Lepisosteus oculatus: one gene and its partners. The protein of the gene in region 3 interacts with the protein of the main gene of each other region in a pairwise test. Links are inferred from orthologs where the notes say so. Each region holds a gene or a part of one and is shown on either strand. Other genes may lie near its edges.

Region 1 (7,988 bases), on a different chromosome or scaffold from region 3:
TCTGGGTAATCTTGATCACTTGGCACTGTTGCAGCAGGTGATCAAAAGCCTAACCCCTTCACTGCAGGTCAGTGGTGGGTCCTGCTGTAACACAAACTGAAACCCTTTCAAACCGCGGCTAAGTCGCAGGCTTACTGACAGGTCAGCGCGCACCTCCTCCTTCCGACCAGAGCTTGTCTTCCTTCTGGTCTGACACTGTCTGCCTCTCAATCAAGGGCAACTTTCCTTTTCTGTGGCCATTCTAGGCCCGTTGCAGCCTTTCTTCAAGCTGTGTCACATGACTGTCTGGTGTCTTAGTGGGCTGGCATTACAGTTACTGTGCTTGGACCTCTTCCAGGATTCTGCCTCTGAAGCCGGTTCCCTTTTGGGGAAGACTGAGCAGACTCCTTGTTCCAGGTCTTCCTTTCTCTGCTTCTTGTAACAGCCACCAAGTATGGCACAGCAGCAAGCTGTTGGACTTTCTTGTCCTGTTGGGAGTCTAGGCTCAGCCTGAATTCCTCCCAGCCGACTGCTCTCTTACAGCCCCCTCGATTACACTCAGAGGCATTACTGATTCCATGGAGAGTCTATCCTACCAGCTTTGTTCTCCTCCTGTTGAATTCAGTACTTCTTATATACATCCACTGATGCTCTCCTTAGTCAGTAGGTGCACTGACTATTGCTGCTGGCTGGGAATTGATGTAATCAGATGGAATCCAGCGTTCAGCCGGCGCTTTGACCCTTGTCTGTAACGCCCTCCTGCTGGTGGGTCCACAGGGAAAGGAGTTAAGCTGGAGGGTGGGAGGAGATGAGCAGGAACTGGTTCTCTCTTGTTCCAGAGCCAGCATAAGGCTCTCTCTACTGCCTCTCCCAGCCTTCCAACTACTCTCTTTCTGTCCCTGTCCCTCCCAGTCAGCATTCTCCACACTAATTCAGCCCAGGTGTGTCGAATTCTGCAGCACCTCCCAGTCCCTCAGCTGCCAGCTTGGCGCAGGGCCACTCCATCGCCCACGATTTGAGCCAAGATGGAGTCAACTCATGGAGCCACTATCACTACATCACAATGATATCATAGCGATAGAGTGTAAGAAATAGTTGAAGATAAAGATACTGTAGGTTACAAATGAGAAGAGGGACGTTTTTGGCAAGTGTAGATCAGTGGTTACTGGAAGTGCATTGATCCAGAGATCTAGTGAGTCCTTTTTTTAAAAAAGAAGTAATAATCTAAACTTCAACAACATGATTAGGTAGCTTGCTCCGGACCCATCAAAAGCCTTTGTGTGTAAAAGGCGCTTCCCTGAACTCAGTTCCAAACTTATTTTCCTCATAGTTTCCATGTGAGCCCTCCGAGTTGTTCTGCTGAAGAAGTCCAGTGGGTTGATATTGTTAGCGCCCTTAAGGATTTTGAGTACTTGAATTAGGTTCCCTCACAGTTTTCTCTGTTCAAGACTGAGCAGATTCAATTTGTTCAGATTGTAAGGAGGAGAACATTCCTTTCAGAACATGAATGCACCTGGTCTCTCTTTTCTCTTATTTGGACTGATTTCAGAGCGTCAGCATTTTTGTAACATGGTAACTAAAGGAACACATTCAGCTTCATGCTGTAAAGGACCAGCACAGTTTTAGCTACTTTTCTTCCCATCAGTATCATTAGCAAGATAGATGAAAGTAGTAAGAGCCTATTAAAATACAGTCCAATCATAAAGATTAATCATTTATAAGGTGGAGGTTGTTTAAATGCTACAAATCTAAGCAAACTGCACCTTTCACAAAACGTTTATGTATTTTTTCATGTTTTGTAAAGCCAAAGCATGATTTCACAACTGTAAAAGACTGTATTTGTGTATTACGTTGCAATTAAATATTGAGCAATTGAGCTTATCTGCAAAATTGAGACAATAGTTTTTGGTGACAGTTTACTATTTTTTGTCCACGGCCTTGTAATGAGAATGTCTGTACATGTTAATTTTGGCATTATTTCTTACCTATGGGTTTAAACACATTATGAAATGCCAGTGTAGTGTAGTAGGCCTTTTAATATTAATTTACTGTACTTGTGCCTCGCTGGGACTGTAATATTCGCGAAGGGTAAAACGTCAATTGCTTTTTAGCTGGATTTGCGGCGTTCTATTATAGAATTAATCTAAGCCCTGGCATTTTTAAAATGATTAAATTTGGTGAAATGTGTGAATATAGTTTAGGTTTGTAAAACCGACTGTTAGTTTTTCATCGAATTCTGTTTTTGGTTTTATTTCCCCCGACGTCCGCTATTTTCTTTGTGTTCTGGGTTTGCTCCGCTCATGAGATCAGCTGCGCTATTGATCGCAAAAATACGCACGATTTAAGACAATGCTAAACCAAGGAGTGAAGTCGCAGGAAATTAATAACCACGAACGCTGCCATTTCAGATCTGTTAATGAAACAATTTTTCAGCACTAGTCATCAAACTTTTCTTTGCCTTTCTCAATAGAAAAACGCAGTTCAGTTTTCTGTATGCGATCAAATCCTTAGTTCTGGTCGGCTTGTTCCTGCCCCTTGGTGATCTACGCATGGGAACACTGGTACCATTGATATGCAGTATCTTGTCGTGTTGCTTTGTGGAAGTTATAATTTTGGCGAGATAATAGCTCGATTGTAAATTATAGGATTCTACTAAATGAGTCGGAGACCAAGACAGTGAAATTCGCTCAGCACTTTTCCCAGCATTTGACTTAAGGATTCCGACAATTTCAGGCACAGGTTTACAATAATACCCGTAAATATATTGTCTTTTTGAGCATGCATTACAGTAACAAGTGGGGCAAAACACCTGCCGTGAGTCATAGACCCTCTGGATATTCTGCTTGTCAGTAAACCTTATAGTCTGTACTTAACCTTTTTATGTCAAATTGATATCAGAGATTGCAGTTTATTTTTAAAATAGGGTATTCTTACACACATAACCTGAGGAAGCTGAAATCGGTTTTCAAGTTATATGGCTGCAAGTAGATACGGCCAAGATGCCCAAGATGTAGTTCTGTATGCAGTTGTCGGAACGTTGGAAAACGATTGCGATCTTGTTCAGTTACAATTAATTTATTAATCACGTTGTTACTTCACGACAAACGTGTTTCTAGACTGTATCCCTTTTATTGTAAACAGTTAAAACCACACCAAATGCAGAATTGTTGTATTTTTGTATTTATACAAATATAAGATTTTCAATTTTCCATGTGTTGTATAATTCCCATTCTTTGTAATTTGGGCCTTGTGTGTTACCTTCATTCTGTCTGACTACCAGCTCCTTAAAACAAATAGCCTGGATGTCGGGATCAGTACTGGGTGACAAAATCCGCACATGAATTTCATGAATTTCATTAAGATGAAGACGAATATGATTCCGATTTGTTGGGTGGATTAAAATCAAAATAAACCGACATCACAGGCAAATACAGGATTTTCAAAACTTCAAACGATCAAATCATTTTAGGGGACGCATTGGGGTCCGGCTGGGTTTTCCCTTAGTTGAAGAGTCAAAATCGTGAAACGTGGAATAAATCAGCTTTGATTCATCCTGTAAATTCTGATGATTCAGGCACCACGCCCTTCCCGTCAGTGTAGGCTTAACTCACGGAAACCTGCAGGTCGTTTAATCTGCGGATCTGTTGCTAGTTTTGACCAGGAATTTGCTCTTTGATGTCCTTTAAACAAATCTTATAATTGGCGAAAAAACGTTTTTTTTTTATTTTTCTATGTTGACAATAAAGAATGAAAAAACTTTTTCTTAACACAAGGATAACATCCAGTTTCTATGAACTGCACGTTAACACAAGGGAAGTGTGGCATTTTGTTTGAATCGTGGTGTTTTTTTTTTTACTTTACTGCATGCTAAATCATTCGCTTGATCACGCAAATTGTGACAGAATTCCTTTGTTCTCAAGCATGTGTGAAACCCAGGAGTTACTTATTTAAGGTCGTTGTTACTGCAGTTACATTTTTGAGACGGGTAAAATGTGTACAAGGAGTGTATTCTCCAGCCAGTTAAACGAAATGCATAAAACTCTTTACAGTTTTAATGCTTAATGCTTTACTAGACTAACAGCTTTTAGGTTGATGTGGGTATTGTACGGCTAATTAGAAATATGTCATGTCATCTTGTTCTAGGAGGTAAATTTGTGCAGGCGGAGTAATTAACAAAGATTTTGACAGCACCTGAATGAGAGTACTGAGGATTTGAGCACGGCCGCTTTTAAGAGGAAAGAAGTGCACCTGTGCATTTGTCTTCATTTAATTCACCGAACTACGAAAAATAAACCATTGATCGATCGTTTTAGATTGTTGAAACACAAGGGACTGCAAAGGGTGTAATGTGGCTCTTAACCATTATAAAAGAAAAAGATCTTTAATACCAACTAAAAGCGTTAAGGTTTCAACCTCAGTATTTAAACGAGTGAGCCACAAGATGTTCATTTCAAGCATTTCATTCATTGCTTGTATTTTAATTTGGGGGTATTGATCCCTAAAATACAAGTAGATTAGTGGTCAAATAATGTCAATTTAACGGTGAAACCAACTAATATGGCCTTGTTGCAGCTACCCTTGTTTCCTTTTAAGCTGTGAGGTGATCCGATTATGATGAAGATTATGAGGTTGATGAAGATGATGATGGATCTTGCACCATTGAGGTTTCTCCGCCGTGCGGGCGCTTTAAGGAACACAGAAAAGAGAGACCAGAGCCGAAGAAGAAGCCGAGCGATGGAGGGTGGATTCTAAAATAACTTGTATTAAAGAAGAGAGAAAAAGTAAAATGTCACGTTGTGATTGGCGGGTAGGGATGTCAGACGCTGTGCGTGTGCGGCCCAATTGGCCGAGATGAAGTTTTATTAAAATCAGAGCTTCTCCGATTGGAGCCCTAATCAGGAAGAAGGAATCGAGCTTCGTTTTGCACTTTTGGCTGCACGGAACTTTCAGATTAAAATCCATATAAAATCTGTCATTTTGACTCTCTTTCGAGGTTTTCCGATGGGAGGGACGCGGTAACTTTTAGCAAAGGAAGCACGATGATATCGGTGGATTGGATACTGTAACGACGAGCATCGCATTTTACTCAGCAAGGAAAATTCCGACGATCAAGGGGGAATGCAAAACGTTTTTTTTTCCGAAGGTACTAGCAGCTGACTGTGAAAGCGACAACTTAATTGTGCTACATCTTCATACCAGACCTTAACCGTTAGCTGCATGTGATGCTGGTATCTAGAAGCAACCAAAGTTAATGTATTTTAATTTAAAAGATGAGCCTTAAAATGCCAGGCTGCAACAGCAGGTTTCGCGAATGCAGCGCATGAATATTATCTTGAAGCATGCTACTTCGGAAGTAGGTCACCGTTTTATACGTCTTGTCAATTGTGAGATTTTTTTGCTTCACGTTACGAAGCAAAGAAATACCATAGCTAATCTGTTGGAAGAGGGGAGCAGAGCCATCTTTTCACATCCCCGCCGAAACTTCGTGATGTTTTAACAGGTAAAAATATAACCCATATTTTTTGTTCTTTTATTTGTATTTAAATATTTTGATCCACGTTGATATGTACTCTGGAGGCAATAGCATATATTTCAGAATAGCATTTGATAGAATGGGAGTCGATGTGCCTTTAAATTTTTTATGCATGTTTTATTGTGTAACCTTTAGAATTTATTAGAATCTAAAGCGAGTTCAACCAGTACAGTCCAATATACTGTACAGTAGATACTGAGAAAGTGTTGCTGGTCTTCATCATTTTAGCTCGACTTCAGCACCACAAAAAGTACATTATTCACCAGAGTAATCCACATAATTGCATTTGCAGTAATTGATGTATTTTCGATACGGTCAGCTGTCTGGTTTCGAACCGACTGTATGTTTGAATGGCATTTACATCATTCTAGGTCCTGGGTGATACGCGCCTCGTAGGGTTCTGGAAATAAAGAATTGGTTTTCTACGATCCGCCCAGCAGAACCGCTTCTGCTTCTGTTTTTCATGGTCATCTTAGTTTGAATGCATGTACATTATCGCTCATCCCCGAAATGCAAACACGACTGGACAAAACCTTTTCCCATCCCCCCGTTTAATCTTTCTCCCATATGTTTATGACTTTAACCTTCGTTACTTATTATCGACACCTGCTGAGAAGGAAGGCCGAGACTAAACAGTTACAGACACATGCTTTTCCTAGAAGCGAAATACTGTACGTCAGATTAAGGAAGGAATGACTGCTCTTTAAGTACCGTAGATTGCAATATGATCAGAGCATTTCTGCGTATAACTCTGTTTTATTCGCAAAACTATGGAGATTCAAGAGCAGAGTTTTAATCTATGTTTATTCTGATCTTCTGCAATATGTTTATTCTACGGTGAGTTGCTCGGAAACAAAAAAAATATTTTCTCTTTAAAACGGCACGTGTTAGTCCTACAAAAAGTATGAAATTTGAATAGTCGAAGTTATCGTTGCTTGAACGCGCGAACGCAATTATTCATTGAGATGATGGACGGCGATTTCATTTTTGCGTTTGTTCAGAACTCTTTCATACCACTTTTTCCAAATCTAGGGTTATAATGAACGTAATAAGCATACATTTACATTTTAACTGCGGTAAGCTGGTTCCATGGTTTTGTATACGCCGAATGCGGTCGGTGTCGTTTGATTGTTTAGTTTCTCAGGTGATCATTTGGTTGCAATTCTCCGTTCTCTGTTCAAACCGCGGTTTACAGTTGTGATAGGTAAATGATGGGCGAGTCGCGTGTCACCACATGCAGGAGCACTTCAGCTAGTCTGTCATGAACTGGGGAGGAGACCAAATGTAGTTCTTCACACCTTCGCAGAAAACGTACTTGGAAACTTTAAAAGCGCGACAAATGCTATTGGTTCCAATACAATGGACATTTGTTGCGTTTTAATTTCTCTTCGTGTCTAAGTATGATAATTCGCAAACCCTCAGAAACCTATGGTACTGTATATTTGCTCTTATCTGCACAACTACGGTACACCTCTTCATTCTCACGGAAGCCCCCAGCAGCTCTGTTAACCTGTAGATAACCTTTGGCTGCGTCTTTGCTGTGTTGCCTAAGGCATATTAAAGAGTTTTAATGGTTCAGTGGTCTTTGAGGCGAGACGTGTTAACATGTGTTGTAGAATAGCTGCTACTACTTTTACAATTATATTTCCTTGTTTCACCTGCAACTGTTTTGTGAAAAAGTGTTCTGCTACTGCACATCTGCTTGGCTTTGTAATGTGTTTTGTGCTGTGTGGGTTTTGTTTCTCCTGAATTATGTTATCACAGTATTTTTGTGGTGTTGAAAGATACTGAGTAGTTCATGATATTTGCACTGACCATGAGATATTCTCTCACAAATGTGGACAGGGACACAGCTTATTAAAGTGTTATCAGAAGAGATACACTAGAATCCAGCCTAATTTCTCATAGAGGTTACAGTTAAATATCTGGAGACCATTATCGTCCTGTTCTGATGAATGATTTGTGGAAGTGTATGAAGAGGGTTTAATATCTTGGCATCCTGAAAAAAATTAACAGTTAATGGAATGATAACAAATATCTAAACTTTGAGCCATTTATGTTGTGAACCTATATTCTCACTGAACAATTAATGCTGAGGTTCCAAAATACTTTATTTCCTTTTTTAACATGCTTTCAACGAACGGCAGATATCTGTCACAAGTTTGTTTTTTGCCATAAGATGTGAAAAGCAATAATAGACATGTACCAAATCAGCATAAACATGCCTTGTTACTGTCAATCAAATTACTTTGATCTTTGCTGCTGACAGACACAGAAATTTGTAGTTTTTTTACACTCTAACTATATGGACTTTTTTTTTTTACTGAATTCTTTCATGGTTCAGTAGATCAAAAAATCTTATAAAACAGTAAAAATAAGTAACCTATACAAGGAAAATCACTCGAATTGAAGACAGAGAGGTGCTTTGGAGGATTCGGTGCTTACAAAATAGAATTCACTACAGATTAAAAAATCT
Region 2 (7,588 bases), on a different chromosome or scaffold from region 3:
CTGATTGCAGGGCACCTACTGTAGCTCTGATTGCAGTCAGCCAATTGTGTTCCTTGGGAATTTTGTTGCTTGGGAAATTGTGTTGCTTGGGAAATCCTGGATGAAGTTGACTAATGATATAGTCGAGTCTCAAACCAGTTGCATCTCAACGTGTGCTCTAAGTGAGAACCGTTACTGAACCTCAGTAGTATATTACACCTGCATTATACTAAAGAAGCACATACTGAAGCCATTGTCATTTGACTTTATCTACACATATTTTACGTGTTTTTTTAAAAGAGCTCACAAATAATCTTTTTGACTCATTTGCAGGTGGCTGTCATTTACAAACTGCACGTAGCGTAGCGGTTAACCATTTTCCCTTATTATTTTAGTTTTGAATAATATTTTTTTTAAAGATAAGCAACTGCCTGAGGTCATTGTAGAGTCAGCACCTGCTGGTGAGCTGTCTTTTTATTAAACAGATAAAAATGTTCCCTTGATATTCAAAACACAATTCGTAGCCCCTCGCCAAAAAGAAAAGAAAAAAGACATCAATCAGGAACATCTCCATTCTTTGCAGGAGTTTGGTTATTTTTAATTTCAACTATGCCATAAAGACAATTAATTTCAACTCCACTACCAATATGGTATTTCATATAAAAATAAATTAAAACCCATTTTACTGGATAAGGTGGAACAGCGTCTTATAACTTTTAATTTTAAACACCAATACTAGGATTTATTATTTTATTTCAATTCTACTTCAATATCAAATCTTTAGAAACATTGCCCGTTTATAGAAAACCACGATTATTCACTAAAGTTTCAATGCATGATCACTGTATATTTACGCTTAATGTAAGATTATGTTTTGTTTATGTTTGAGGTGAAGAGTCTCGTTTATTTTAGAATACAATATTTATATATAGTCAGACGTTCCTGGTAGTGCGGTGAATATGTTGTGGTTCTTAATAAGGAATATTGCAAAATGCACATCTAGAGAGAGTATTTATTTGACCTGCACATTCCTAAATATTCACTAGTGCACTAAATTCATATATAGTTTTGTGATAATTGTGATGTTTATTGTTAGAACGGTGGGTATCTGATTAAAACAATTATTAAATACCGGAGGTGCATTACAAGCTCCTAACCCAAGTGTTACTAAACATGTTTAAAGAAAAATACCGGCTGGATGCTTTTATGTAACGGCTTCATAGGAGCGGTGCGTAAAGTGTCTTTCCGGTGGTTACATCTCAGCAGCTTCAAGGACAAGTACAGTACGAAACTATAGTTTGCATATTGTACTACAGGACGAAACTATAGTTTGCACAAATTGTATATGGGTCTACTTCCAGGAGCACTTAAAAATCACGACTACGACAACAACAACATCAACAACAACAGTAATATTAATACTACTACTACTAATAATAAATGTAAATGACCAAACACAAAGAGAGGAAATGTTCATGTTCGATGTGTTTTTAATGTTTTTTTTATAGTTCTCTGGTATAGACTGTTTAAGAACAACGCGTTCCCATTGTCTAATTTGACAAGGCTTTATCCTCGTGAAATTCATTTGAACAATTTAACACAAGAAGAAGTTTATTCCCTCTATCTTCATGAGTGCTAAAAGCCTAGATCAGAGCAAACAACATCGTGACAGGTGGATTTCATTTTGCGTAAAGCAGTGTTCTTTAAACCTAAAAGGTTGAAAATACTATCGTCTATAGTCACAATCAGAATGACTCAGAAACCAGACCTCAGTCTAGATTCCCAGTTCTATTTTCAAATCCAAATTTGAGATTTTTTCTTTATTTTCTAAACATTTCTATTTATTCTGGATGTTGTTAGATAAATATATGGTTTATAAATGTGCTAGTCAAAGATGTCACTATCAACACCTGCGTAAATTTAAGATCAGTTCGACAATTTAATCCTCATGCATTTTTTATTTTTTGTCATAAAGATGTGTGTATTTAGGATAAATCTTACGCTGTCAAAGATCTGAATAGCGAAGTACCCCTTGTCTTAATATTCGTTCCAAGAAAACGTTAATTTAAATTAAAAGACAATTTTTAGTTGTTTTTTATTCAAGAAAATCGTTTGTTATTTGCCTCTGTGATCATAACAATAATTGTCATTATTAGAGTAGTTGTTACGTTACCATCTTCCTAGACTCAGTGTAAAATACCTAAGACTTTTCTCTCTTGCCTTTTTCATATTAAATATTTAAAAATGAATTTTATTTTTTGATTTCGGCACAAATCTTGTCGTACATCTTCACCGCAATTTTCATTTTTTAAAACTTTCATAAAATTAAGAGCAAATTCTGTTCAGGAGAAAAAGGTTTGAAAACGTCCATTTTGTAACTTGTCACTGATGATGAGGCGGATCTGATAGAAATCATGACCTGAAATTTAGAACTTTCGATAACATTTTATTATTCACCCATTTTCTACTGTTTTTTTGTGTTTGTTAGGTTGATTATCCTTTTTAATTTTGATCTATGTTATTATATCTAATTAGATATTTTTGCAGAAGCAGTCTTTCGGATTTAATAAAGGCTTTTTAAAATTAAAAGGCAATTACCTCGTCTCCATAGCATATTTAGAAATTCATTTTGATGACACGAATAGAAAATCTAAGATGACTGATTTTAAACAATTTCCACCCACATTTTTTTCTTGAAATAATCTGAATTTGCAAATTTTTCAGTTAAAGTTTTAGTATTTTAAGAAAGTATTACTGTATATTTCTTCAAGTATAATTATCTTGCTTGGCTTTACAGTAGATATTCTGTAGATTCATAATAAGGTCTTAAGTAAGACCACATACAATACTGTATGTGATACATATAGTCAAGTAGCATATTTAGTATCCAAGATGTTTTAATATGTAAGATGTATCGTCTTGAAGGATTTAGAGAAATAAATACTGAAATGATTTTGTTCTTTAATTTAAAAAATAATTGAAAGCTCGTTACATCCATTTAAAAATAATTTTGGTATAATATGTCCTAGTCTGTATTAGTCTCTTTTCCTCCACAAAAGTTTGAAAATACTGGAAACATACGAAGTCTGTCAAACCACTGGAGAAAGATAATTCCGTTGAACACGTAAATTGATTTTTGTGCAATGGTTTCGTACATTCTACCTTTTTTAACTGTTAAATGTTAAACACGAAATGCAATAGTACTGGTAAAATAATGTAAGTAATTACGGGTATAATTGATATATAACCATAATAAGCAATCATTTGAAGTCCGTCATGCAGCTTTCTTTTAAACACACAGTAAGAAACCTGGTAATCCTAAATTAAACTTCCTAAATTAATTGCCTTCCACCCGTAAATTATTATACGCACATGTAGAAGTACGTTTTTCGACGTGACAGTAATGTTAATCCTATCTTAATTGAAAGTAATCTTGGGCTACGAAGTAAAATTTAGCAACATACTGTATGTACAGCTGTTATCACTTATAACTTACAGTAACGATAGCTTGTCCCGATTGTTTATCTATTCGGTTGAATGCTTTCACACATTAACACGATGTTTGTATGTAACTTTCAAACGGTTAAATGAAGACCTGTACGAACTCAATGGAGCGTGTGAACTGCAGCGAATATGGTCTGGTACTGTAGGAATGTTCATTATGGGTTTAATATCGGTTTGAAGGTGTCACCTCAAGGAATGCATTGTCATGTTTTTCTTTGCGTTTGACTCTGAAATTTATTATTGAAGATGTCTTGCAACTGCCGTGTGGTTTACTTTAGGTAAAGCTCTTCGCTTGTTGCTGTATACAGTATAGCATGTGATTAATTTATACCTGAATATCCTGTTATTCTATTTTTTTTAAACTAGAGACACACAAACACAGCATCCTATACTCTATCCCAAAGATGCGTCACTAATAATAAGCAATTTTAGCCATACTTAACACGCAACGACTTTGCTTGAAACAAATACAATACTTGCAACACTCTAGCTGTCTAGGTTCTCTAGCGAATTATAAAAATGTAGTGATTTTTGGTTATTTTCCAGTTTCGTTTTACATCTGTATTTTGCCTGAATGATAAATGGCAGCATATTAAACGAAAACACAAATAGCAGATTTCCTGTGTATTTATAGAATAAACAGCACAGACTTCCAAAAAACCAAACCTAAAAAAAAAATCAGCACTCACAAGTGCATTCGCCAAGCCAAGAAATAAATATTATGCGATGTACTTACAAGCCACAGTCTCCTTTTGCACAGTCAGTTTAAAAGTAGGTTTTAGTTGTGCTAGGAGTAAGTGAAAAGATGTAACTGCTGGGGATGAATTATTATTGCCCCTCCAGCTCCCCACACCCCCCCCCGCCCCCCCCACACACACACATACTCACACACACACACTTGCAAGCGCTTTGTGTAGCACGGGCAGGAGATAGTGAAAGCTGTGGTAAGGTTAGTCAGTGAATGGCTCATCCTGGTTGCTCATTGGCCCTGACTCCTCCTACCCCAGAGTAATGCTGTATTTGAGCTTTCGGAACTCCAAAGCAAATAGACACACAGCACCAGAGCCCTGGGCAGCTCCTCTACTCCCCTTACTCCCCAGTTTGGTCCCCTGCCTTGGCAGCCTCGAGCACACACCAGCCACTGCTCACCCATTTGGATCAGCAAGGATTTCAGCGCTCAAGAGCTCCTCCAACCTGTATGGACTATTAGATTAGTGGACAGCGGTTTTCTCATTTTCTTTTTTTGGGGGGGGGGGGTCTGAAGAGAAAGACCTGAATTGAGAGCGTTTCTGCACCGCAGAGTCATGAATCCCTGGAACAGCGACTTAACCCTTTCCTGAATCTTATTCTACGGAGTGAGGAGGCTTTCCCGAGAAGTAAATATATTTGTACGTGCAAATATATACTGTAGACTTCGCACCCTCACCTCCCTGCTTTCTTCGCTTCGTGAACCCAAGTGCGCAGCAGCAGAAATTAGCTCCCAGGTGGTGGGTGCAGATGGGTTCGGACGTTCGAGATCTCAATGCTTTGCTCCCGGCAGTGTCTTCCCTGCCAGCGGGGAATGGGAACTGTGCCTTGCCAGTCAGCAGTGCTCCTCAGTGGGGGCCGGTTCTGGACTTTCATACTGGGACGCCCTACAGCTCCCTCGCCCCTCATTCCTTCATCAAGCAGGAGCCCAACTGGAACTCCGCTGACCCACACGACGACCACTGTGGCCTCAGTGCCTTCACGGTTCACTTTTCTGGTCAGTTCACGGGGACAGGAGCCTGTAGGTATGGGGCTTTTGGGGCCCCAACACCCAGCCAGCCCCCTCCCAATCAAGCCCGGATGTTCACAAATGGACCTTACCTGCCCAATTGTATGGAGACCCAGCCAGCCGCCAGAAACCAGGGTAAGATATCTTGTGTCAGTCCTGCTGAGCATTCTGGAACCTGTCACTGCTTCTCAGTGGACATTCTGACAGATGCAATTTCTGTATTAATTTTCCCTCAAAACACTATTATGAAATAAGATTGAGCACTATGTATTCATTTAATGAGACATTTGATTTTTGAATGAAGTCTGGAAACACTCACTGTCTTAATTTAAGTAAAAGTTGAGCGCATTCTTCAAGTACAGTTTTGTTTTCTTTCTTTATTTGACATTTTCATTCAGAATTTTTTTTTTTCCCTGGCACTCACTTTTGATGAAAAACATCAAAGGCATTTTTTAATTGTTAAATTAAACCAAAAATGTTTTAATACCAATAGGGCTTCAGATTTAACATTCCAAGCATCCGATCTGAGGTTTAAACATGATCAAAATCGTCTACACATTTAGCATTTCCTTTTTCTGGTGACATGAAGAGAATATATATGTTATTGACATACCTTGCAGATTTACTTGGCTGTTTTAAAAATGATAAATAAATATGTTTGCACTATGGTGGCTTCAGTTCTGAAGCTTATATAGGAATCGTAATAATTCTAATAATAAAGGAGTATGCTGGAACCATAAGTGCTTTGCTAGCCAGAAAATAATCTGAAGGAAAGATGTTATGCACTTTCAAACATTACTTCATAGAGATATCAAATGTAGAATATAATACAATTACTTATTTTTTAATAATAGATCTTTTAAGTAGAATTCTAAATATTAAAAAGACAGTTTAATATGATTTCTAACCTAATAAAAAGCATTTACTTAAATGGAATGAATTTTTAAATATTTGCTTGCTGATGCTATAAAACAGAATGTCTGGTGTGTAACATTTATCTGAATTGCATAGCTTGCAAAAATATGTGACACAGCACAATGATACACAATGATAATTCATGTATTAGGAACTATTGTACTGTTGAACTATTGTAGTTTAATCTTAGAAATAAAAGGTTACAGTAAGATACAGTTCTAAGTATTCCAACATACAAGTAACCAGAAACATAATCATTTATTTTACATTAATTTTACAGGTGTTGTTGATAATGTAATAAAGGATTAAACATTTCTTGACTAATCTGGCAGTCTTTATAGTACCTTAAATCCATGTGCAAAAAAGTATTAATTTAATGACTTTAGGAATATTATGCACTGTAAGATACTTTATAATATTAGTACGTCATTTTCAAACCATTCAACTATATGACAAAAAAAGTTATACTGAACTATGCTCAGATTTTATAATTAAAACATAAGTCTGTTGCTGTTCATTAAAAATAGAATTCTGAAAAACTACATTTGACACAAAAGTAAATTTCCTTAAAATTACAATATTTAAAAATACCTTTTTGGAGCAAATACTTGAAATGTAAAGTTTTGGTTAATAGATTACATTGGCGGTGTTAGCACTGTGGTAGGGTAATAAAACACAAGAAACATTTTTAACTTTTCTGACATTTTCATATTTCATCTTTTTTCCCATTTTGAACACGTTTATCATTATGTGTGAGCCATCATTTTTAAAAACAGCACTCTGGTTTGACTATTTTCTACATGCGATAAGTGATAAGGGTCAAAGTTTTTTTCTCTCAAAGCTGTACAGTTTTGCATATCCTTAAATGCTGCATCTGTGCATAAATGATAATGAAAGGCTCAAAAAATGTTTCTTTTGAGCTACCGTCAAGGTTGGATTTAGCATTAAAAACTCTTTCAGAGCGTGGGAATGATTTTACCTTGGCTTATAGACTGGTTTTGGCAGTGTTGGAAAATAAAACTGTCGAAATGTTGCCCATTTCTTTTTCATCTCCCACTCATCTGGGTTTTCCCAATAACTGGATTCTTTCTGAAGATCACAGTGTGCAGCAGATAGACAAATTTCAATTATTTTCAGCACATTTTAATCAAGCCCAACTTTGATAAAGTCCTAATTAAAGAAACCTTGCTATCAAAAGCTTTGCTCTGTGCTCCAGACTCCTTATCACATTCCTTAGGTTTGGACCAGGCAAACACCGGAAAACATGGCCAAAAATCATTCCGCTTGGTGCATTGTTTTGAAGGTCATGAAAAGTCTGTACCAAGCCAGTCAAAAAAGAATGTTGTGCAAATGAAAAAAATAAATCAAAAGACAACTACTATTTCCTGAGTAGCTGAGCTGGTAAGAGCAGGCAGATCAGACTATGAAAATTAC
Region 3 (7,175 bases):
CCCGGGTGACTCGCGAGGTCACAGGGGTCCAGACCACACAGCCTGCTTGTTTTAAAAGCCCCCAGTCAGCTGTGTCGCTCTGCTTGGGGAATCCTAACCACAGCTGGCTGATGACATAGCTCCTTGTGGGGGTGTCCTAAGCAGACCTTTGTGGGTTGAGAGCCCCTCATGGGCTATTCTTTCTAATGTTTTGTAATAAAAAATTGAGTTCATGAAGTGCTTGGGGATGGATCTATAAATAGAGGACAGTGCAACTTTCGTAGCATTTGGACTGGATGGTCCTGCCTTAATTCCTGGTGCTAAAGTAGCTCCTCCCACCTTATTCTCCAGCCTGCCTCTCAGCAGGAGGGGGCTGAGCCACATTGGTGCCATGCAGCCCTTCAGCTACTAATTTGGAGCGTGACTGGCCAATTGCTGCTTCAGCCACACCCATTTATGAAATGAGCCCGCCCCCCCGGTCTGGACAGACACTCTTCCTGATTGGCTCCACCTGTCTGCCTGCGTTTCCCTGATTGGAGAAAGAAACTTTTTTTAAAAAAAAAAAAAGCAAGCAACCTAATTAATGGGAGAATTTCAGAATATGGTGATTTACGTTAATTTTGTGAAATTTGTTTATCATCACTGAGTTCATGGATGATAATTGACCTCACAGCCTGCCTTAACGATTCTGATGGAAGTTTAGAAAAAGATATACAATGTTTGTGTTTTAACAGGCTGTATTGTCGAGGTAGCAGGGGATGTGTGTGGGGGGGGGGTTGGCGTGGTGTAATTTACCAATATGAGGCCTTGTCAGAAGCCTTACTGATTTTGCACAAAATGAAACACTAGTGTATTTTAATTCTTTATATTTGAAATAAACGCAGGTAGTGTCCTGCTCTGAAGAAAGCTGTCTGGGATGGTTTGAATTTTTTACACACTCCTTGGGGAATGTATAGCTGTCGTCTCTTTTCGCCTTCTCTGTCTGGCACACTCAGTCTCTCGGTGTCTGTACACAGAAAGCCACCCTGTACACCCTGCAGGTGTGAATGACTTGCAGATATTGCACCCTGCCACCAGCACAAACGTCTGTCTGTCCACAGACACACACTCTCCCATTCCACCCCACTGCAGTGCTTTAAAGCCAGCGACTCAATACTGAAGCAACCACTTGGAGTGACCGGAAGAATCGGCCAAGTAGAGAGAGTGATGCCGTCCAGCTTTCCCAGCCCCAAGACCTGTGACCCCAATGTCTGGAAGTCGCCATCCCTGCCAAACTCTTACTTCAATGCGTTGATGCCCTTAATTAAGATCGGAATTGGCCTAAGGCCTCCAGGTTTTGCTTTTGCGTGCCTTATCTCTTAAAGTTTAAGTCAAATACAGTATATAATTTCACAAATTAATTTATGTCCAAGACTTTTAAGAATTAGTCGTTATTTCAGAGAAGTCAAGAGTCAAGCTAGATTGACCGGGTCCCCAGCTGGGCAAGCCCTGTCATGGAGGCCCAAAGTCCATCAGATCCAGCTGGTCTCTGTGAAGCACTAGCTTAAACCTCAGCTGTGCTCTACTGATGCAGTTAAGCCAATACCCGGAAATAGCTGAGGCAGGGGTTAAAAAACCAGCACAGCACACCTGTGCAATACCAGTAGAGAGTGGTCTGGAGCTGTGTGACACCAGCACAGAGACACAGCGAAGTACAGGTTGAGCTCTGGAGCTGTGTGACACCAGCACAGAGACACGGTGAACTACAGGGAGAGCTCTGGAGCTGTGTGACACCAGCACAGAGACACGGTGAACTACAGGGTGAGCTCTGGAGCTGTATGACACCAGCACAGAGACACGGTGAACTACAGGGAGAGCTCTGGAGCTGTGTGACACTGGCACAGAGACACGGTGAACTACAGGGTGAGCTCTGGAGCTGTATGACACCGGCACGGAGACACAGCGGCCCGCAGGTTGAGCTCTGGAGCTGTGTGACACGGCGAATTACAGGGAGAGCTCTGGAGCTGTGTGACACCAGCACAGAGACACGGTGAACTACAGGGTGAGCTCTGGAGCTGTGTGACACTGGCACAGAGACACGGTGAACTACAGGGAGAGCTCTGGAGCTGTGTGACACCAGCACAGAGACACGGTGAACTACAGGGAGAGCTCTGGAGCTGTGTGACACTGGCACAGAGACACGGTGAACTACAGGGTGAGCTCTGGAGCTGTGTGACACTGGCACGGAGACACAGCGGCCCGCAGGGTGAGCTCTGGAGCTGTGTGACACTGGCACAGAAACACAGTGGCCCGCAGGGTGAGCTCTGGAGCTGTGTGACCCGGCACAGAGACGCGCCGGCCCGCAGGGTGAGCTCTGGAGAAAACCAGGTCTGGCAGCTCTCTGCAGTCAGGGAACCAGAGATACTCCTAGGCAAAGCTGCAGTAACCAGCTCTGTCCACTAGAGGGTGAGATTGGTCCACCAAGAGATGAGTGGCACATTAACGGGTCAGTATGGGCACTTTTAAACTGAATTGAGTCGGCTGCATCTTTCATTGCGGAAGGGCTCCTCACTTTCTAACAATCCAGGTTCCCACACATCCCTGTCTGGTCTTCAGCAGGGTAGCAGGTGAGTCAGCAGCCACTACAAGCTTTTCAGCATAAAAGAAAATAAGTGCCTGCTTTAAATGGGGTTACAGTTAATTGCAAGGGGCCCTTCTCCTGCATCCCAGATAAGTTCTTTAAAGGTTCCAGAATGGTATGACTGGTTTGTAAGGTCTTATTTTCATGAGGAAAAAGGAGTTACATTCTCTTATGGGACAGAAAGGAAATCTCTCTCTCTCTCTGGTTGTGTGTGTATTGGACAGTACTGACCCCTGCCAGGTGAAGTCTGTTTTTCACTGACCTGCACAGCTGCCCCTTTAGAGCTGCCCCTCAGCAGCGCATGCTAATTCACAAATTGCTTTTATAGTTTTCAGCAATTGTAGGTGTAGGTAACAAAAGGTTATGCTGACACATCATTTTCTTCTTCCTGACAATGTAGACAAAGCAAGAGCTGGGCAAACAAGTGAGTTTAATATAAAAAATATCTGGAGAAGTTGTTAAAACTGTGCAATGCACTAGTTAGACCTCCATTAGAATAGTGTGTACAACTTGACTCCACATGCAAATCAGGAATATCTGCTCAGAAATCACTCCAGATTAGAGTAACCAGACATTCCTGGGCACTGACAGGCTGAAGGAACTGAATATTATACTCTCCAGCAGAGAAGACTTCAAGAGGACCAGATTATAGCATTCAGAAACCCAGTTTTTTTTTCAAGAAATAACTGCAGCAGTCCTACATTCAATCGAGCCATACTGAATCAATCAATGAGTTCACTATAAATGAGCTATAAGCAAATGCAATCAGGGGGAAGTGTGTAATCACACAGGCTTAGTGGAACCAGGGGAGGAATGTATTTTCAGGGTTAAGGTATAGAGCAGCTTGGTGGTGCGGTACTTAGTCTTGCTGCCTCGTAGTGCTGGGGTTCTGGCTTCAATTCCTGGGGTGCTATCTACGTGGAGGTTGTATGTTCTCCCCATGATTATGTGGGTTTCCTCCCTTCCTTCTGGTTTCTTCCCTCAGTCCAAAGACATGCTTACTATCGGTGACACATAATTAACCAACTAATTCCACGCAGTTCCGCAAATTGTATTAATACATCTCATAATCGAGCAACATCGATCAGTTGATGGGATCAATCGCGCTCAACTCCTCCTCGTCTATTCTGTCATCAGAATAAGCCGTGGCCTGGACACTAGCCGACACGCGCACTGAACGGAGCGCCCTCCGTATCTGATCCAGCCTGACCCCGATGCAGGTCCGACGCAGACGCTCATGCAGAAGCTTGAATTGAGGAAGGATGGGAAATTGTATTGTTCCGCGGATTAGTCCGCCTAGCGACGCTGGGGGGCGCTGATCGACCAGTGTGCATTTCCATTGATTTTTTCTCCATTCTTTTTCCCCTCCTCCTGCAGAGGGAGTATCCTGGAATAACGAGAGAAAGACGGACAGCTGCTACTGGGAGAGAAAAGGGGGGGGGGGACGAGTGAGAGAGAAAGGGATCGGAGAGCACGGATCTGGAGATCCCGTATAAACAGGAGGTTTGGAAAGAAGGAAAACTTTTTCTGTATTTTTTTTTAATTCGGAGAAAAGAAGAGGGGATTGAACCAGAAGGGATTGGTTTATTCTCGCACCGGAGCTGTTGCGTTTGTTTTCTGGGTTTGTGTGTGGGGGCAAGACGCCGCCGCGGTCTCTCCGGCTTGCCGAGCCAGAGGATTAGAGCTCGCCGGTCGGTGTTCGGGGGGGACCCGGGGAAGCGCAGCGGAGAGCCGGCGGCCCCCGGGCTGGATGCGCCTGGCCTGCCCCTCCCCAGCGGCTCGCTATGGGGGAGACCAAGATCATCTACCACATCGACGACCAGGAGACCCCGTACCTGGTCAAGCTGCCCATCCCCGCCGACAGGGTCACTTTGGCAGACTTCAAAAATGTCCTCAATAAACCCAGCTACAAGTTTTTCTTCAAATCTATGGACGACGATTTTGGGTAAGGCGGCAGGACACCTGCACGGTTTGTTTTGTTGTTGTTAATTGTTTCAGTTCTGGGTGACAATTGTCCGTGTTATTGTTTTTTTTTCCTCCTTTATTTTTCTTTGCAAGCCAACTACTTCTGCTCTTGCCCGTCCCCTCACCCCCTCCTCTTCCAACCCCCTCCGCCGCCTGCTGCCGCTCCCGGCTCCCCTCTCCGGTGTGCGGGGAGAGAGTGACCCCCGGTCCCGGAGCTGGAGCTGGGGAGGGAGGGAAGGGAAGATGGGAGCGCTTGGACACTCGGTGCTTGGTGCGGTTTGCAGAAAGGATTTTAAAAAATGTCGCGGAAGCCAGATTTTTTTTTTTCCATATCGACAGCGTCCATTTTGGAAATGGAGGAGTCCTATATAAGGTTATTGCCTGCGCTGGCGGGGGGGTGAACGCAGGAGAGCGCCTGGATAGGGGGAGTGAGCAGCTCTCTGTGTGGCCGGAGCCTGGGATTCAGTTACAGGCTCTGGAAGGGGGTTTGGTTCTGGCGGGGGTGGGGGGTTGCAGGACCGAGGTCAGACGGAGCTGGTGGTGCATTTTTGGTGGAAAATAAAGTCCAACAAGAATCGGGGGAGTGAGCGAAAGAGAGAGATGGTGGGAAGGTCCTACACGAAAGAAATCCCAACAATCTCGCCACAAGTTCAGTAGGGGGCCGGTGACATCACCTTCAATCTTAAATCAGAAAGCAGACGGGAAGGATTTGTTTTAAATGCAACAACAGTCCTTTCACATAACTACAGCCCGAGTACCTTTTTAATTTGAGTGCAGGAAGGTTTTTGTTTCAGCATTATGCGCGATTATCGATTCCATTTCTTGCTCTTGCACCCTAACATGTTAAAAAGGAGGGGAATTTTACTACCCCAAGCGCTTGCCGCTTGCCGCTTGCCGTGCGTTTTGTGCGGCGTCTCTCTGCACTCGGGAGTGAAAATGGCGGATACGAGTGTGGAGAGGTGGGGGTGGCTGGTACTGCTTTTGACGGACGGGACTCTTTTGTTGTGAAAAGAAAAGAACGAGGAAAAAAAAATCTTTTGTCCCCCATTAGTTTCTCACACACGGAGCCGCTCTCTCCTCCCTCTCTCGGGGGCCTTGGCCTGCGTTTGGTGCGCGGCGCAGCTTCTCTGCCCGGCGAGGTCGGGCTGCCTCGCCGGCCTGGAATGTGGGTTTTGGGAAAACTGTGAACCCGGAGGAGCCGCAGCTCGCTGTCAGCTCCGCTCCGCTCACCCTCTCTGTCCTTGATCTGCACACATATGAGGCCGGGCTCAGACTGAAACAAAGAGGTGCCTGGCATCTTCGGATGTCTTCCAAACGCAGCGCAGCAGGCACTGAACGCCGAACATCAGCTGTTTGACACATGCAGGGCAGGCCGGGCGGCCGACTCAGAGTTGTTTAGGTGACGTTGTCTCAGTTCCATTGTCTGACCGCTCAGGCTGGCCTGTGCACACAGCTCTCGCTACCTGGCTGACCAGGCCTTTTCCCGCACACCGCTGTTAGCAGGCCTCCTGCATAATCGCAGGGAGAAAGAGAGTGTTAGTATCAAGACGCAGAAGTTTGGTGGGGGGAAAAAGCAGGCCAACTCGGATAGGATTCTGAGTTAGGTGACCGGTAGTCCAGCCAGTGAAGAGCAGCCTTTGTGTTTTTGTTGTTGACTGTCCTGCCCAGTTGGTTAAGAGGGTGTTTAATAAGGCTGGTTGGTGTCAGGGGCTGTGGAGGAGGAGGTCAGGGAAGTGGACCTGCTTTGTGTCTTACTTGAGCTAAACAGGAGGCAAACCAGCACTTTCCTCAAGAGACACTGGTTTATATTAAACCTTAGATCTTTGTAGCTTAATGACTCTATAATTGGCCTAATTGGTCCAAAATGCCCCCGTTTCTGGGTGGATCTGACCTGCTCAACACCAGGCTGTGGGTTTGTGATTTTTCTGGGGTCTGGCAAGAGGCTCTGTGTGGAGCCAATGTTGCCTGTAACCCTGCAGGGCTGTCTCTTTCAAGAGCTGTTCATTTACCGTGGTCTGGTAGGTGCTATCTGGGAGGCTGTTGAGAATCGGTAGTCTGAAAAGCTCCTATCCAGTGTGTTTCCACAGTGAACTTGTGCTCTTGTCTATAGAGTGTTGTTCATGGCCTGTTCCAGCAGACCCACGCCATTGGTCGTACACACTGTTTTTGTTTTAAACGATGAGTAAATGGAGCTAACAGTCACACTGAAGAGAAGCCGGAGCAGCAGCCGGGTTGGGTGGAAAGAGTCCTTTCCTCCGGAGAGCCTGCTGGGAGCCCAAAGGCTTAGGAGTGTACTGTACATGAAAAGCTCGTAAAAAGACGTCTTCAAAGCAGGCCTGTCTGAAAGCTGTGACGATTTTCTGATCCAAATGAGAGAACAGAGCAATTTGTCAGTTGGGTTTTCAGACAGGCCTGTTTCTACAACTCATTCGGATTTTGAGCCTGTTGGGGGGGGGCTGACCTACAGCAGGTCTTGCCAACCGCTTGAGCTGAAAACATTTGTTTCACCGTCCAAATGTGCTCATATCATGGCGATAAGCTCGGAAATCTGTACAGAGTTTGCTTGGACTGCAGCACGTAATGAAATGACTAAGACTGCTGGTTCTCTGTG
Region 4 (7,758 bases), on a different chromosome or scaffold from region 3:
TACCTGCTGTACAAAGTTTCATTTTAAAACTGACCATTTCCTAAGCCTGCCCAGCAGTGGGTTTCACAGAAATAAACGCTTCTGAATATTGCGACTCAATATTTAAAGAAAATGTTTGACAGAAAAAAAAACTAACAGTAGTAGTTTATGTTTAAGAAGATATTTCCTTTAAAAATACCAAAGTGGTTACAAATATCTAACAGGATAGTATTTTAATGTAATTAAATTGTGAGAATGTAGTAATGTACTGTAGGTATGGAATTGTTCTAATGAAATATGTGCCAGTCCTATACAATCACTTGTCTTCACCACTCCAGTCATGTCACAAAGTCTGTTCTTAACAGTCACATCCGGCTACTGCAGTGAAAGATGTAGCAATTCTGTACAAACTATTCAATTGATTTTAATATAGATTGCATTAAATTAATTTCATGCATGTAATTATCACCAGAATGCATTGTACCTGAAATTCACTTGGGATAAGCACAGATAAGATGTCGTCACACTGTAGGAATGCTATGCCAAGGAACAACTAATAGACAGCGGTGTGATTTTCATTAGACACAGCTGCCCTCCGTACAGAGCTGTTTTTGCAGCTGTCACTGGTCTTTTGTCACCACCAGCTAAGTGGTACTTTCTGCTTGTCTGTGTACAAGTCTGTAAGCCAGCAAGACTGTAAGGAAGCAAGACTGAGTCTGTAACTTATTTTTTCCCAGGATGATACTTATTCCCACAGTTGTTTTTTTGATCACACAGTGCAGAAAGAGGCGTTTACAGTACTTCAGTCCCTGCAGCAGATTCGCTGGGCTCTGCCTCTATGAACGTTGACACCACAAGATTAGACACATGGAAATGTCTTAAGCTTTTGTCCTACAGGACAAGAGTAAAACACACCCTTCATCAGAAATCAAGTTCCAGTCAACCATTACAGCTAAGAGCTTTGCCTGGAGTCACATGCTAAGACAACACCCTGCTTGGGTCTTCAATCCATCGCAGGGCACACACAAACAGTCAAACAAGAATAATTTAGAGACACCATTTAACCTAACCAGCTTGTCTTTGGGAGCCGTAAGAAAACCCAGGCTAACTGAGGGAGAACATGAAAATTCCACCTGGAATGTGCCCCTGATTGGGAATTGAACCCACAACCCCAGAGCTGTCAGGCAGAAATATTAACCGCCATGATGCCGTGATGCCCAAACGCAGAGCTAAATGTGATAAATAATGGAAGTCGAACAGTTGACAAGAACCGGTATATTTTAGAGGAAACAAAAGGTACAGTGACCATTCTTACTTCTGTTTTTGGAGATATGTGGGGTGTTACTGGAAAACCCAAGCATCTCAAAACCAAAAGAACATCTCGCTACACTGTAGGAAATGAAACAAATATTGCTTCTCATTTGTAAGACAGGAATGCGACAAGAAATTGTTCATCCTAATTCTATAGCTAGTTTCCAGTCAAAATCCAGTGGTAGTCTAATGTTTTGAATATAATCTGGCTAGTTACTTTAAGTAATCAAAGGATGTTTTCAAAGGGGCCTCTCTTACTGTATATTTAAAATTAGCTGAATGCTTCAGCATTAGTTTTACAGACACTAAGTCTAATAAAATTAGAATGTACTTTGTAAAATTGTTTTGATCGCAACTTGAGTTTGAAAATTTACAAAACTATGGTTTCTTACATTTCAAGGTCACTATCTAGTGTTGATATATTCCTTTTCATACCCCTTCGATTTTGAGCTTGAAATATTGACAAAATGGGGTGAGCCAATAAAAAAACAAAGTCAGACTCTAAGTCACAGTTCCTGTCTCCACTTCTTGATTGTGACTGATGTCAGAGACGTGAGCCAATTCCCTTTCTCTGACAGGCAGTGAGTCAGGGTGCAGGCTGCTGTACTCCCTTCAAGCTTGGAAAAAACAGCTCCTTTCACATTTGCCAACCTGGATGAATATACTGGCCTGGGTAAAGAGTCAGCAAAAGAGACATGCAATACATTCCTTTCCAGAACGAGACTGCTTTGGAATGGTGGAAATCTTTCAGCTAATGGGAACACAGTGCAGTGCTACAGGATGTTGAAGTAGATGTGCTGTTAGCATACAGATGTCCCACCATGTTAACAGCACATCTATTGTGACATAAAAAAGTACTGTGTTAATCTTTGTCAGAATTGTTCAACAGAAGCCAGACAGACAGCATGAGTACCGCAGTGACCACTGTACAAAATTTACCAGTAAAATGTCTGGTGGGGCATTTTTTATCTAGTTTGATTTATTTGTATATAGTGAAAAATTAGGAATCAGGCTAAAGAATGTATTAGCCTATTTTTTTCTTCTTCAGGATTATGAAATTGATCTTCCTTTCAGTCAATCAGTACTTGACATTACAAGCCTGGGTATGGTAGAATAATTTATATCAATCCTAGAAATCACAAAAGCTGAACCCAAACTGGAGCTTGTTAATGAGCATGCTGCCTTAAGATTTATTTTCTGTGTTGACTCAAGACTCCTGTGATTGACCATCACTTGTGTTTTAACAGAGACAAAGACTTGTAAGGCCTTTAACACATGGGGACATTTTGCAAGCTTTTATGGGAACCGGGCAGACAGTGTTTTGGGGGTGTAGAGTGTGACGAAAATGTCAGGTGAGGAGTAGGGATGGGTGGAGGGGGAGGTGTGGTGTGATTTGTGTCCAGAGGGGGCTAACAAGCACACAGATATTCTTCCTTACTGCCACATTGCTGAAGGGAGAAGGAGCTGTGCAAGCTGGCGATCCCAAAGGCACAAAGAGACTTAAAACAGTCATTCTCTAACAATTTTAAGTGTCTGCCGCAGGACAGGTGTGAGCAAGCATTTCAGCATTCTCTATAAACACTGATTCTCTAGGTTTAAGCTTGCACACAAAGAAAGCCTGATCTATCTGTACAGCAATAAAAGCCTATGTTAACATTTCAGCCTGCTTCCTTGTTAACACAAACCTCAGTTTGAATTGTTTTTTCTTTTTAATCTGAGTATGAGAAGCCACAGCCATTTAAACACCAAACCTCCCTCCCTCCTCCCCCTGCAATTGCCTTTAACCCTGCATTGTGTCAGAATCCTCACTGAAGCTGAAAGTCACAGCATCAGCAAACTGTGAGATCATGTGCAGGAAGAGAACAGGAAGTAGCCTGCCTGACTCTCAGGCCTCGTCAGTGACCTCGTGCGGGAAGAGTCCTCATGAAAGACAGTCCTGCTCCGGCTTCTCCAGTCGTGAACCTCAAGTCTCCTTCTGACTGGCATGTGAGTGTAAGACAGCGTCAGACACGTGCCTTGAAACTGCTGGCTGGGCGCACTGCCGAAAGTCAAATAAGGTGCGAGCTGTTTTCAGAAACACCCTGACCGCTGCTGGTGAAGGTGACTGTACTGTCTACACGAGGGCACAGGAACAGGTAAAGGTGTATTCCATGTTGAAAAGAAAAGAGACACAGAGGCTGTACAGCCTTCTTCAGTTGAGTCCTGTTCCTTTGCTGCGTACGCACACTGAAGCAGCTACCTACTTGAACTACAAAGCATATGTATAAAAGTACTAAAACTCAACGCCAGGGAGCTTTCTCTCCAGAAAAAGTGAGGTTTTCCTACGTCTGGAAAAGAGGGATTCTGGTTCAGCTCTGGGGTGGGATGATAAATTATCCGATTACAGATGATGAAAATTGTGTATTGCGAATTGCGATTGAATACAGTCCGCCATCACTAAAGCACAGAACATTGCACTGCTAGCCTTCAGATGGTTGCAGCGTTAATTTCCTTCCATCACATCCACTCCAGGAAATGTAGTTGTAGTTTCAGAACAGTTAATTAATTTTTTAATCAGAAAATTATTTTCATAAATAATACCAGCAACAGATTGAAGAATTATGAAAACAAATACATGCCCAGGAGTTAAGTAATGGCGAATAGGCATTAGTTAAATACAGATTACACAAACTACTTTTAAGGAATAAGCTAACAGTGTGGAAAATAAATTGCTAGATCAGAGGAAAATTATACATGGAGATGGTCTGGGGTGCTGCCCCAGAGACAAACGGCCTAATAAGGTTTACTAAGACAACTCCATGACAACGAGGCTTTCCACTGTTGGCCTGTTATAACTAAGCGTGGTTTTATCTGTGAAAGTATGAAAGTGGAAGAGAAGGGGGGGAAGGGGAACGATGTGTCAGTAATGAACTGTCCAAGTAGGGATAAAGTGCTCGGTAATGTATTTAAACAACTAGAGGGAAAGACAAAACTTTAACTATAATTGTAAAACACAGGAAAATAATTTCCTACATGAAGAAAATAAAGGTCACTGTAAAAACCTATTTGTATTTTTTTGGCATTTTTTTAATGAACGTGTCTTCTATTGCAATTAAATGCCTGAATGATAGCTGACAAACGAAACTTTTTAAGACGTTCTTTTTTCAGTTATTTTCAGCACTGCGCATGACGAGAAGCAGATCTGTGAGACAGGAAAGTTCTTTTAGCTAGTGGTTTTAATGAAGCCACTCAATTACTAAACATAGAAAAACAATAAATAAAAATAGCCCTGGTCCGTTTTGGTCAAAATTATACTTTCAAAAAAAGCTCCTAACGAAATGGCTTCTTGCCAAGCCCGGGGACAGAAAAGGGCTGCCAGAATTAAGAGTTAAACAAGATACTTCAGCAGTCATTTCAATGTTGACAATGTTGAACTACAGTATGAGCCCAGTGGATTGTGGTCACGAGACCAGCATGCTCCAAGCCATCAGTTTCTGCTTTGGCTTAATGGTACTGAATTTACCTCTCCATGTCCACTTCTAACCTCAGGTGCTCGGGAAAACACACAGGGTACTCATACATCCCATAATCCTACATGTACCACAACCGGGCCTGATAATTTCAACACTTTCTGGAAGTACACAAGGTTTGAAATTAATGCAAACTCCAGGACGACGGGATGACTGGCTGTAGCACATCCATAAACAGGATTTCAAGAGAATCACAAATGTTTGGCATCAGACACAGCATCTTTTCATAAGCTTCAAAAATCTCTGAAACCCAATACAGAAAACAATAGTGCTGGGAAACAGTTGGCTTATCTGAAGAAGAAAAAAATACCTTCCAGCTACAGTCTTGTTGGGACTTGAATGCTCTTTCTCCAGAAATATGCAGAACGAAGGGAAAAAAGAAAGAACTGGAAACCAAAACTGTGCTTTTCCCTTAAAATGGAGAACCATAGCAGTGTCAGCCAGGGCTAAAAAGGTTGAATATTTTTTTAATATAAAAAGGACACAATATGAGTCACAAAAAGTAGAAATTGATCAAAACCGCTTTTTAAAAATCAGTCGATGGCATACCCGAAAAGGGAACTTATATATGCAGTTTGTGAGGAGCTCAACAGTATCATGCTACATTGCCGTACTGTAAATCTTGTTACAAACATTGATGTACCACGCTGATGTACCAGGTTGGTAGGGACAATTCTATCAAATGATTAGAATAATTTATTAATAAATAATAATTACTTATACTTGTATAGCACCTTTCTAGAAACTCCACTCAAAGTGCTTTTACAGGAAATGTAAAACTACCACTACCAATGTGCATCCCCCACTTAGATGATGCAAGAGCAGCCTTAGTGCACCAGTACACTCACCACACAGAGTGAACAGGAGAACAGAGTGATGAAGCCAATTCAGAGATGTGGATTATAAGGAGGCCACAATTGGTAAAGGCCAATGAGAAATTTGGCCAGGACGCCAGGGTAACATCCCTACTCTTTGAGAAACACCCTGGGATTTCACCGAGAGTCAGGACCTTGGTTTTACATCTCAACCGAAGAATGGCACCTTTTTACAGTGTGGTGTCCCCGTCACTATACTGGGGCATTAGGACCCACACAGACCATGAGGTGAGCATCCCCTACTGGTCCCACTAAAACCTCTTCCAGCAGCAACCTTAAGTTTTTCCCAGGAGTCTCCCATCCAGGTACTGACCAGGCTCACAATATTATTATTACAAATTGAAAATAGCAAACAGTTATTGTTAAGCTGTATAACACTCCTGTAATGCGAGAAATAACAATACCTTGTTCCTCAAACAGATACTGAAACCAAAAAGGCTTGACTAGTTTTATCCAGTGACCAGTAAAGATGGCAGGGGGTGTGTCATTAGGAGGGACAAGTGGAACCAGCAAACAGTAGCAGGACATATTTATTTCTCCATTCACAGGGTTGTGTGCAGGACACTTTCATGCCTGCAAAACACTACCCTGGGCTTGATCTACACCTTGATCAATCAAGAAAAAATTAAAACAAAAACCTTTTTACCGAAGAGAGAGAAACCACGTTCTGTGAAAGATAAATGGACATAAAGGAGGACTGTTTCCACACTTATTTTTTGTGGCATGACTGCAGGAATTATGATGCCAGATAAGGTCTTAACAGATGCCACAAATTCCCTAATTGCACATCCCAGAAGAACACCCACCTGCAGGTGTGCAGTAATAGGAAATGCTCCTGGGTTGAGACAGGCTGTAACGGAGACGGGTAACAAGTCAGGCCCAGACGTGTTGCCTGCACCAGAATGAAATGGAAACTATAAGTTCTTTGGAAAAAGCAAAGAGAAATCATCATCATGCCTGAGCTGAAAGGAAAGGCAATTCTTTATAACACTGATACTCAGCTCTGGTCCTTAAGGGTCACACTCCCACATTGTGGGTAATGCCATAATGTGGTTTTATAAGCATACTATTAATTAGGCTGAATATCTTGCATTCATACAGCTGGCTCTTTTACTGAAGCACCTTGCTTAAGGTACTAGAAGGTACTGATAGTAGCGTTCCACCCAGGACTGGAACCCACAGTCAAACAGTTCTGGTTACAGAGTTTGAAAACCCTGCACCACTCCACTGAATCGCTTTTCAGAGTAATTCAAAACACCTTCACTTCCCTGGTAATTCTGATGACTTTTATGTGGTTCTCCATTCAGATGACCATCTTTTAAAATAAAAACAGACATTCTAAGAAGACTGGATATAAAAAGCGTTTTTGGGGAGATGAATCCAAGTGCAGTGCAGCATTTAAAGGTCTTCACAGCTTTGTGTGTAGTTCATTTTCTTGTGTTTCCATCAGAAACATCTTACATTTGCTTAAATAGTAACACTTGCAGAAATCTAAGTTATTTTGCCGGATTTGGAAATTTCTTCTTCTGGAATAATCATCTTTTACAAGTAACTGGAACCACAACACATTTGAACTTAAGCTTCAAGGAGTTCCTCTCTTCCTCCAAAAAACTGATCTAAATAGGTCACATTTACTATACACAATCTGCAAAATAAGTTGTTGCACTTAATTCCTTCTCCAAGTCCTCCGGAAATGCTTAGTTTAGTGTTAGCCATTTAGAAATAATACTTAGATCCAGTGTTCTGTTTAAGTGACAAACTAAAACATATTTTCAGTACTTTTCAGTAATCTCAATGACCATGCTGTATGTTTTACATGAAAAACACAAGAATATGAAAAAGGTTTAAACAGTTTAAAAAATAGTTTTAAAACAATTTATATTTATGCTATTATGAAATGCCACAAAGGAATCCTGTTAATCTTGAGTATCAAACAGAAGGTTTTCATTAAAACGCATTGAAGGTTCTCTCATCACTAATTAGACCAACGGATATTCTGAAAGATGAGTGATTTTGAAAGAACTAGTAATGAGGGATAAGAAATTAAGAATTTACATCCAAGAATAATGGAGCAAACCCAGCGG

Evidence for each region.
Region 1: the proteins of segment polarity protein dishevelled homolog DVL-3 (region 3) and bahd1 interact in binary tests that used the Homo sapiens proteins (3 or more experiments, as listed by UniProt). The two-hybrid records come from large-scale screens. The link is inferred for Lepisosteus oculatus from reciprocal best matches to the Homo sapiens genes DVL3 and BAHD1.
Region 2: the proteins of segment polarity protein dishevelled homolog DVL-3 (region 3) and Wilms tumor protein homolog interact in binary tests that used the Homo sapiens proteins (3 or more experiments, as listed by UniProt). The link is inferred for Lepisosteus oculatus from reciprocal best matches to the Homo sapiens genes DVL3 and WT1.
Region 4: the proteins of segment polarity protein dishevelled homolog DVL-3 (region 3) and snx22 interact in binary tests that used the Homo sapiens proteins (3 or more experiments, as listed by UniProt). The two-hybrid records come from large-scale screens. The link is inferred for Lepisosteus oculatus from reciprocal best matches to the Homo sapiens genes DVL3 and SNX22.

Annotation. Positions count from the first base shown.
Region 1 is NC_090703.1:12,318,175-12,326,162, reverse strand, and holds the start of bahd1 (bromo adjacent homology domain-containing 1 protein), read left to right. Parts: upstream 1-4,868; 5' UTR 4,869-5,097; coding exon 5,098-5,122; exon of another isoform or gene 5,123-5,479; intron 5,480-7,988.
Region 2 is NC_090716.1:7,828,682-7,836,269, reverse strand, and holds the start of Wilms tumor protein homolog, read left to right. Parts: upstream 1-4,523; 5' UTR 4,524-4,980; coding exon 4,981-5,374; intron 5,375-7,588. UniProt on the Homo sapiens protein: Transcription factor that plays an important role in cellular development and cell survival. Recognizes and binds to the DNA sequence 5'-GCG(T/G)GGGCG-3'. Regulates the expression of numerous target genes, including EPO.
Region 3 is NC_090708.1:16,798,710-16,805,884, reverse strand, and holds the start of segment polarity protein dishevelled homolog DVL-3, read left to right. Parts: upstream 1-4,013; 5' UTR 4,014-4,383; coding exon 4,384-4,544; intron 4,545-4,717; exon of another isoform or gene 4,718-4,863; coding exon of another isoform or gene 4,864-4,937; intron 4,938-7,175. UniProt on the Homo sapiens protein: Involved in the signal transduction pathway mediated by multiple Wnt genes.
Region 4 is NC_090700.1:60,321,878-60,329,635, forward strand, and holds the start of snx22 (sorting nexin-22), read right to left. Parts: upstream 3,034-7,758; 5' UTR 1-3,033. UniProt on the Homo sapiens protein: May be involved in several stages of intracellular trafficking. Interacts with membranes containing phosphatidylinositol 3-phosphate (PtdIns(3P)).